Drosophila melanogaster: one gene and its partner. The protein of the gene in region 1 interacts with the protein of each later gene in a pairwise test. Each region holds a gene or a part of one and is shown in the gene's direction. Other genes may lie near its edges.

What was found.
Region 2: the proteins of SuUR (region 1) and CG18563 interact in a two-hybrid assay, tested with the Drosophila melanogaster proteins (one large-scale study listed by BioGRID).

What each region holds. Positions count from the first base shown.
Region 1 is NT_037436.4:11,062,925-11,069,525, forward strand, and holds SuUR (suppressor of Under-Replication), read left to right. Parts: upstream 1-2,066; 5' UTR 2,067-2,243; coding exon of another isoform or gene 2,244-2,450; 5' UTR 2,451-2,470; coding exon 2,471-2,798; intron 2,799-2,905; coding exon 2,906-3,105; intron 3,106-3,171; coding exon 3,172-3,350; intron 3,351-3,436; coding exon 3,437-5,618; 3' UTR 5,619-6,101; downstream 6,102-6,601. Other genes in the region: CG32075 (uncharacterized protein), read right to left, coding at 1-199, 263-477, 538-1,537, 1,597-1,736; CG45101 (uncharacterized protein), read left to right, coding at 2,244-2,450; CG6310 (uncharacterized protein), read right to left, coding at 6,207-6,382, 6,444-6,601.
Region 2 is NT_033779.5:17,456,168-17,459,968, reverse strand, and holds CG18563 (uncharacterized protein), read left to right. Parts: upstream 1-1,924; 5' UTR 1,925-1,943; coding exon 1,944-2,099; intron 2,100-2,162; coding exon 2,163-2,213; intron 2,214-2,274; coding exon 2,275-3,207; 3' UTR 3,208-3,299; downstream 3,300-3,801. Other genes in the region: CG5050 (uncharacterized protein), read right to left, coding at 1,223-1,493.

The sequences.
Region 1 (6,601 bases):
CCAGTCTGATGTATGCTCTTTGCTTTGAGCTGCTTGTTCCAAAAATCGTTCCAAACGGTCTAGATTGTTGCTCTCCTCTGAAGAGCTATCTTCTTCCATAGCTTCCTCTTCATAAAATTCTTCAAGCTGTGCATCGCAGAGTTTAGTTAAATCCTCAATTTGCGTCTTGGTGTATGGAGGATCTGCGAGCGGTAATAATCTAAGAAAATGTCAATCTTATTAATCCAAAAGCAAGTAAACCCAAAAAAAAATGTATACCTACCCTTTTAGAATGGGCGCTGAGTAATTGCTAAATGCATCAACACGCTGCATAATAAAATCACGATCAAAAATCAAAGACCTGGACTTTTTGGGATTGTCGCCAAAAATAAGGGTAACCGAGAGATCGGCATTTGAGTGTACTAACAGACTGCGCATTGTCTTAGAAATTTTATCCGTGTTTAGGGTGGCAAAGTCCGCTGGTTTTAGTTTATCGTTCTGGAAAATAAAGAATATTTTAGTGTTTTCATCGTTAACACACTCCGTATTTATACTAACCAAATCCAGTTCGGCTTTGTACATGCGCTTCATACGGAACAGCATCCCAAATGTTTCCAACATTTTCTTTGCCCAGTAGCTGGCTCCCAGACGCCTTTGCTCCGACTCGTTTTGGTTTTCACTCAGTTGAACTAGGGCCAAAAAAACCTTCTCGATATATCCCTGCACGGCCAATAGACGGAAGAGTCCCTGTGTGGCTGCAATGATGACATCCTCGTTGTCGTCGATTTCCAAGCCAACGCCAAGGAAGTATTTCATTTTAAGCAGGCATTTTGTATATATGTCCAGCAGATCCTTCATCGATGATGACTCCTTTTTGACCAACGCACTTAGATCACCTAACACAGCACTCAGAATTTCTTTCGATGTCTTCGCCTTCTTGCTGGAGGAGTAGACTCGTATCTTATTGAATTCACCACTGGATTTTAGCTTGCTAATGGCCTTTAGTTTCTCAGCCCCCTTGATATGGCACTCCAGGGTTAGATCGTAGATCTCCAGAAGATCTGTCACAGCCTTTTCAAACTTAAGCTTGTCCTTGCGATGCAGTTTGCCAGCATCCAAATTGGACATGGTTTCCATGTGTGGCAACCAGTAGTAGGTGCGCAGCCACTCCAGACAATGATTCGAGGTGTTTCTCAGCACCTCCACAGGCGGCAGCTCCTGTCCATGGGCGCACAAGTGGCGCAGATCAACGATGAACGACTGGAGGCCCAGTTCCTTGGCCGTTTCATACATGCTGGACATGTTGTGTCCCTGGATAATGGAGGACATAAAGTTGTAGAATCGTGTAAAGGCACTGGCATAGGTGTCCTGTATTTTGGCGCTGCCCTCCTGGTCCTCCAAGTGCGCCTGAACAAGCACCGATGTGGCCAAAACCGCTGCCGGGCAGAGACTTCCTCTTCGCAGACACCAAATGCGGATTTTACTGAGCGCTTGACGCCATGTGGCTGGTGTGTTGGACTTGCCAAACAACCATTTGTACGTTGTATTAAATTCCAGCCTGAAAATGTAATGTTTTTATCAACGGATTGGATTTGTTTCCACTTTTTGTCTACGCACGTGTCTCGCCAAGGAGTGACCACAGTTCGTTGTTTTACATTTGGTGGCGGTGTGACAGGAACAACTTTGGCTTTCTGCTGTTTTCCCTTTTCAGGGCTTTTCTTTTTTGCCTCAAATTTTTCCTTCTTTGCAACAGCCATGGCAATTTGGTCTGAATAAATTTAAACAAATTCCATGCGAAACAAACCGCAAACGAAATCACAACAGTTGCAACAGTGATGAGCTAAATGCAGCTATAAAAATGAATTCCTTACACAAGTTTTGAGTTGGCAGAATAAATAATTTAATTTAAAAACATTTTACTCGCCAAAGGTTTCCAACCTAATGTATTTTACTAATCCTTGTCGGTTCAGTAAGTTTTTTTTAATATTTTGCTATTAATCAAGAGCAGTATCTCTTTTGGCTATTTCTAGACATTGCTTCGTTTGCCAACACTACCAACGTCCAACAGCTGATCGCGCCAACAAGACGCAGCCGGTTCTGTGTGAATGGTGAAATAGAATTGGAGCCAAAAATAATATTTTCTTCTTGTTCGATTGTTAAGCCTTTTCCCGCGCCCCCGCCATGACTAACAGCGCTTAACCCAATTTCCCAAAAGGGACGAAAATTGTCCTCCGAAAAAATTGAAGCTTAACTAGTTTCAACACATGTACGAGATCCAACATCCTGTTATCATCAACAACAACTACAACGTGGTGGACATACTGCATCCGGAGAATATCGAATTCGATGGGCCGTCTGCGGCGCGAAAGATGATAATTGGTTCATTTTCGATGTTCGTGATCTTCTCGTACCTGCAACTATTCTACATCCTGGTTGCCATCTATCTGGCCCTGCATCACGCACACCATTGATTCGAATTCTCTGAAGGATCATGTATCACTTTGTATCCGAGCAAACGCCGGAGGTGCGGCTCACAGATGAGGCACTGGTCACGAGCCACGTGACGCAGTACCTCAAGAGCTTTCAACTGGATGCCGTCCGCTTCGTCTACGATCGTTTGGCTAAGCGGGAATTCTGCATCCTGAATGATGAGAGTGGCCTTGGAAAGGTCGCTACGGTGGCGGCACTTCTAAGTGCCCTACCACCCGCCAAAAAAACACTTGTGGTGCTCCAGAACGATGAGCAACTGCTCACCGGTTGGCGATTCCATTTGGACACTCTCACTGACCTCCAGGTGTACATCATTCAGGGGGTGCAAGGTAATGCCTAATATTTAAATGGATTTGTTGATAAGAATGTTATCGTAATTTCACATTATTGCCATTTAAAAATTAAACTTCAACACCTTCACTTTCTGCCTTTACAGATACCACCGACTCCCCGCACAGCGTTTACCTGGCGAAATGGAGCCAACTACGGAGCATTGGAGATCTCAGTCGCCTCAAGTTCGACTACATTATGGTGGATAATCGGGGGCATTCGCTGAACAACAGCTTTTGCACTTCCATGCTGCTGAAGCAATTCGAGGGACGGGTAAACGTTCTTATCTCCAGTGTTGACGTTACGGTGAGGCAATGCATTCATAATATGGTTTATATCATTTTAGCTTATGTGGTTTCTCTCTCTCTGCAGTCCGACGTTAGGTTGCTCTACAATGTTCTACGGTTGGGCGGCCGACTGGAGCATCAGTACAAAAGCTTTGCGAGCTTCGATCGAAAATTCCATCTGCCAGATCCGAAGGAGGTATTCAGTAAGCGCATAGATCTCGAGGAATACTACAAGCAGCGGGGATTCCTCAGCGAGTACATCAAGTAGGTGAACCAGCAACGATCAGTTTCACTGTTGCATAAGACCGGAATAGTCAGTTGCATATGAAAATAACTTATATAATTTGTAGGGACTTTCGTCTGCGTCGTTTTCGTCATCAATTCGACAAGTCACTGCCACTTGTCGCACCGGAGCAATACAAACACAATCTGAATCTCTGGTTGGCCTCAAAGAACAGCCAGAGCACAATAAGCGGCTCAGATGTGTGCTCTACAATCGCTTCCATAGACAACAATCCGGCTCAGCAAAATAAAACTGGGCTCTTTGAAGAAACGGATAGGTTATCCGAGCACAGCGTGGATGATGTGGCAATGTCACCGCTGATATTCGAGTATTCCGAGTCTGACGATGAACCCCTAACAGTAGAACCTGATGCAGATCAAAACCCGGTATTAGTTGTATCCAGCGATGATTGTGAGATTGTAACACCTCCAAGTACTCCGCAAAATCGAACGCCCTCATTAAATGAATCACCAAGGACGAAATCAAAGAAAAAATTTAGCAAAAAAACGTCACCGCGCAAAAAAGCTGATCTCACCGATTCCGAAGAGGATGATGAAGCGACCGATAATATGCCGCCAAGGAAGAGAACTCGTGCAGCCACCGTTCATCTGACACCTAAGACAAGGAGACTCAATGTTCGAATTTTAAGGGTTTCCCTCGATACTCTGAGCACACCACCACCGTCCAGAACCACTACTGCGATCGTAACGCCCAAAACGGAGCCCACAGCTAGAAGAAAAAATCTGAAAAAGCGCACGGTGAGCCCAGTGGATGTGGGTCGTCCAGCCACAAGGGGAATGCAGCGCCTAACACGATCCGCTGAAACAAAAATAAACAGTAAGTACTTGAAACATCGCTCATTGGATGATGTCAAGCGTAGCTTTCCAAGGAGAGTCAAGTTGGAGGGTAACCAAACGCCCAGAAGTAGCAAACAAATAGTGAAGCAGGAGCCTAAGTCTAAAGTCGGGCAGGAAAAGAAACAGAAGACGGTGGATGTACCTGCTCAAGGAACTGCGAAACGAAAGCCTGGACGTCCGAGAAAATGCCAAACCAAGACTGAAGATTTGGGGAAGACAAAGACTAAGCCGAATTCAAAGCACTTGCCACCTACTCCTCAAGTTCTCAGTGGTAGCTCGTTGTCCTCGGAGTACATGCAATGTGCTCAGCGAATACCAGACAATTTGGATGCCATTGAGTCGCCCGCTTTTCGTGTGCCCTTTACACCTCAACAAACTCCAATGCTTCTAACCTTGCCGTCTACACACAATTTGCTCAACGATTCTGAGGTGGTGTCTATTCCGCTTTACAAAGATCCAGTTGAGACAGTGGTGATCAATAGCTCGCACGATGAGTGTTCTCCGCAGGATCCATCGCAGAGTCGTCGCACCAAGGCTTTGAAAAGAAAACGCAAACCCGTGACGTCCGTCAATTCAAGTTTCGGCGGCGGATTGGGTCTACCACCGGCCAAGAGGAGTGCCAACAAATCTCCAGATCTATTTAGCATATCCTCGGAACACTCGCAGATTCCGCTGGCGCAACCAAGACCCTCATCGCCCTTCGAAGGCTTTAAGATCTTTGGCTCTGAGGTGAAGCAGTTTCAGCAGCAGCTAGCGAAAGTAAATATATCGGTGCCAAAAAAGAAGCGAGATCGCTCGTGTTTGGATATCCTGGAGCAAATGTTCGAGCCACGACAACAGCAGTCGGCTAAAACTAGTCCCAAAGTCTTGCCAACCTTGCCACTGACCCAGAAGGATGATGCAGAGTCTACCATTACGCAGAGAAGAAGAACCCTGCTGGAAGATGACTTCTTTGAGATAACGAACAATGGCCAATTTGGCAGTCGCATGCGATTGAACTCCTCTGGCGAAGTATCGCCCGTGCAACCGGATCAACAGTCCGTCAGGCCGTCGCAGGCCAATAAAATCACCAATTATTTGATAGGTTCTGGAATTACGCAGGAGCGAACGCAACCTTCGAATGGTAATCGCAATTCCATTCTTGCATCGCTGCGCAAGTCACCCAAATCTCCCAAACAGGGTGCTAAATCCACTCAGGCCACGAAACTAACACGCTGGTTTGGCTCCGTCTTCGGCGGTGGAGCCTCACAGACCAGCTCCGTGGAATCGGTTAGTGCACCAAGTACGCCGGTGAATTCATCCACAAGTGCAGCAGCTTGTCAAACGCGATCGGCGAGAAGTGGTGGAGCATCAGGACCGACCAAAAGAAAGCGATTGGAACTGTTCAAGTGATGAACAGCAATCAATGAAAATGACAAAAACCAAATCAAATCAAATCCAATTATTGAATATATAATGAATGAAGGAATATATAACATATAGTACGAAATCAAAAGTTAACAGCATCCAAATATGAGGTTGTAAAATCAAATTGCACAGGACCGTCTAGCTAATTTAGTTAAAATTATACTTTGTGTGCGCATTTTGAAGAGTAAGGTTACCATAAAATTGAAAAGACACTGCATAATATTGTATGCGTATCTTGTAAGTAGATATAATTGGTAAATTATTAGTTCACAAGTTTATCTAGTTTCTCAATTCATTTTCCAAAATGTGCCACCTGATTTAGACGTGTTTTTTTTTTTTTAAATTATTTCAATACGCATTCAAAGTGTATTCAACAATTTTAAAGTAACGAAAGATATCGTTTTTAGAAGCAAGTACCGTGTAATTTTGTATCATCGTTAAATAAACACAGGGTTTACATTTAAAAACAAAGTATTGTGTGTGTTTTTTTTTTATTAGGAATTAAGATTATTGGTAGGTAAGTCAATTAGTTGTTTGCACATATGATTTAAATTTGAACTAGATCCTGGTATGCTATCCTCTCTGTTTTCCGAATATTATCGTTAAGTTGTGCATCACCGCCTGGCGCTGGAACTCCAGTTCCCGCCTACACATGCCGCCCAAGAGTGGTGGACACTGATACTGGATGTTCTCCTGGGCAAAGGTATCACCATTGGAGTTTCTGAACGTGAATTCACTCAGTGATTGTACTGCAATAGAGATTCATTTACGATTAGCGAGGGCATTCATATCACTTCCGTCTTATCTTACGGCAATAGAATCCGGCAAAGAAGCAAGTCTGATGCGTGGACTTAATGGCATAGGCCACGGGCGATACTCCGGGTAATGACTTGGTGACCACGTACTTGGCCGTAGCCGTATTCAGCCAGTATGGCCAATGGGATAGTCGCTCTGTGTACTGCACCGTG
Region 2 (3,801 bases), on another chromosome or scaffold:
AAAGTATTGATAGCCAATATGCGTACTACATAAATCATAAAATTAACTCGAGACTAGAGTATTTCAATTAGAGATTATGGATAGCCAGAAACGAAGTAAAGTGGAAGCAAAGCAAATAGTTTTCTATTTCCCAAACGATGGATTACGAATGAGTGTAATAGTGAAGCAATTGAATTTAAGATTTGAAGGATATTTAATGTAAGTTTTATGATAAAATGCCGGCAAACTGCAATAACTTTGCATGTGGTAACTGTGGACATATGAAAAATGCAACCGAGTGTGCAAGGGATAGCCCAGAAATATATATAAATTATACAAAATACTCATTGCAAAATATGTGAAAATAAACAAACTAGCAAATATGAGCTTAGATTGTTTTCTTAATGTTATTTTTTGGAATCTGCGTTATATATAAAATGAAACAAAAACTCTTCTTAAAAAGGTAAAAAAAAAAACAATCTTTCGATTCGTGTATCACTATGATTTTACCATCAAAGCCTTCGTACACTCCTGGTGCGCTTCGTTACTACGTGGACTGCCGTTCAAAGTGACGTCTTAATATATCTTATGTATATGTATAGTAGGTGTTCTTTTAGGCCACCAACTATTTTATTTAACAATAAGAGTATAAAATATATTAGTATTCTAATATTCTAGTGTTAGCCTACCCAATACCAATACCCAGAAACGACCTTATACATTTTTTTGTTTAGCTTATCAATATTAATTGACGTTCCAAAAATTGCTAAAGCCAAAGTTTAATAAGCCTATAAAAAAGGCATTGATAGCGTATTCAATTTCTGTTTGTTATTTATTATTTATATATTATTTAATTATTTACGCATTTGTTAGGGAAAAGTTATCTCTCTATTACTTTTAAAGTTCTTAATTTATAATTTGTAAATTTCTAGCTGATTTCCTTTAAGTAGAACCTTAAAGACCCAGTTGCAATGACTAAAATATGTTTTAAAGTTCTGTGTCAAGCTCTACAAACACCCACCATAGGCTTACCTTATCATTACACTAAAAAAAAAAAAGTTAAGCAAGTTAACAATAGTCATTTGCATGTTAACATAGGTTTCAGAAAACCACAAACGATTCCAACGCAAACAGCACTGTGACTCTTCCCCCATAATAGGGGAATTATTGGGGGATTATTGGGGATTACATTAATTTGGTAACTGTTTGAAAATATTTTTATAGAAAGTTTATTTAATTAGGTTTAGTTTTGACGATATTTGAGAGACATTCCAGGCAGCAGATACAAAGCAAACAAATATATCACGTTAAAGGAATAGCGTCGAAGTTTTATCCAGATATGGTTGCCTTGAAAGGGCGCAATCACATGGTCGTGGAGGCGTCCGAGTCCGAGGCGACAGCAGGAATCACCGAAGACACCGTTGCGATTTCGGTTGATCTCCTGGCGCAACTCTGTGATTTCGTTCGACATTTGTTGAGCACTCTCACGCAATTGTTCCAATTCTCCAGTGTGCCTTAAGTAGGAAAGTGAATAAGAATTAGATTAGCCTATAGCATATAAGCATATAATTATAGCATATAATTTAAACAAAACGATAAAAATATAACAAGAGAGAATGCTACAGTCGAGTTCCCCGAGTATCAGATACCCGTTACTCAGCTAATGTGAATGCGAATGCGAAAGTTCATCATTATTCTGGGAATAAAATGAGAAAAAATTTAGATTTCGGCGGCGAAATCTCGTTAGATTGGGCGTGGCAAAAAGCTTTTTTTTTGCAAATCGATAAAAATTTACAAGACTTATAAAATTATGAAAAAATTTCGAAAAATGTTTACAGAAATTCCTTTTCACATATTGTTTTTTTTTTTTTTTGTAACTGATAAGACTTAATATAATATAAAGTGTACTAAAGCATCGGAAAGCTTGCTCTATCTCTCAGTCAATTTAATCATCCCGAGCAAACATGGGATCGATCGTGGCCACAGCAGCTATTCTTTTATTCTGCGTCCTTTCGGGCGAAGCCTGTAGGTATTGTGTCCCTATGGAGAAGTGCTTAATACTAAGTCGAAAACTAAATAGTTGCCCATTTAATCACGTCTGTTGTGACATTATCATAAAGGTGTATATATTTTGATTAGAATCCCTGTACGCAGATTTGGAATTAATATTTCATAATTTGCAGAGTCCTTATATCCCTAGCGGACCGAATGAGGAATCCGATTCTGAGTCTGCAGTATGCTTATTATTTTAAATTGCAATTGAATCTGTTTAATATTAAATTTTCAACTTTTCAGTCATCTTCTACAGAAGAGGAAAACATACCAACCTTTATCTATTTTCCAACGAGACCAACAGTCTCAAGTGAGCCCCAAAACAATGTTTCTACGGAACCTGATGTACCCATTACTTATTGGCCACTTAAAGGATCGGGCGCCCCAACAAATGATGGTGCGCAAGCTGAGCAACCAAAGCCAACTGAACGGACACAGCCAGGAGGCAGGTGCAATACGACTGGTCTATATTCCTGGGTGGTAGCCCTATTTTACGAAGAAGTTTACTTGACCGGCGGCTCACTAATTAGTCCAAAAGTGATCCTAACGGCAGCCCACAACACAATGAACAAAATGAATGAAGATAGAATTGTGGTTAGGGCCGGCGAGTTTGTCATGAACACAACAAATGAACCCATTCAGTATGAGGAGCGCGTTGTTGAAAGGATTGTGAGACATGAAGGATTCATTTTTCAGTCGGGTATTAATAATGTGGCTCTTATTTTCGTAAAAACACCGTTCGTGCTAAACGATCGCATTGGAGTATTGACGTTGCCAAGCCGACAAGCGTCGTTCGAGGGACGTCGCTGTACGGTTGCCGGTTGGGACTTGGTGAGTTCCCATGATCAAAGCCGTATGAGAATTATAAAGAAATTAGAGTTAACCGTGTTGGACAGAACGACATGCGTGGCTCAGTTTAGAAATACAACTTTGGGCAGGAATTTTGATCTTCATCCGAGTCTGATTTGCGCCCGAAGTGAAATAAACCGGGATTTCTGCTTTGGCGGTGGAGGTTATGCATTGTTCTGCTCCCTCGGAGATGAGAATCCACACGTCTTCGAGCAGGCTGGGATCGTCGCCTGGGGCATGGGGTGTGGATTGGACCTCCCGGGAATCTACACCAATGTGGCAATGTTCAGAAGTTGGATTTATAATAGGATAGCATACTTTGGCTAACGCTTAAAGATTATTACATCAATTCTTCATTAAGATTGTGATTATGCATTATTGTATAAATATACAAAATAAATGAATTTTTAATCAAAATCAAATTTAAAAATTTTTTCATTAAAAAAGGTTTTTGAGACGATATTAGCAAAGATTTTTAAATCGATGTCCATAATATTCAGCTGAATATATAGCGTTGCATTTATATAGCTTTAAATATTTACAAAAAAATAGGAAAAATAGTACAAATCGACAGTGGCTAGGAAAATCCCAAATTGGAAAAAAAATAGGCATTTCACTCGGCGATAATCCATGCATCCTAAGGTCAGTGTTATGTATATAAATGTGTACATATTTCAGATGATAATTCTTTTGTACGCATATTTGTAGTTCTTTCCTCTTTATGTTTTTTTTTTATATATGCGTACATAAAAAAAAAATTTTTTTTATATTGAAACTTTATTACGTGTTATACAGGTCACGTTACTCGAAAAGGTAAAGGGTAGATACATAACTCGATTAGTTAAAAGGTATGTAACAGCTAGAATTAAGCGTATCAAATCCTGTGAGATATATATGTATAGTCCTGGGAATGATCGTTAC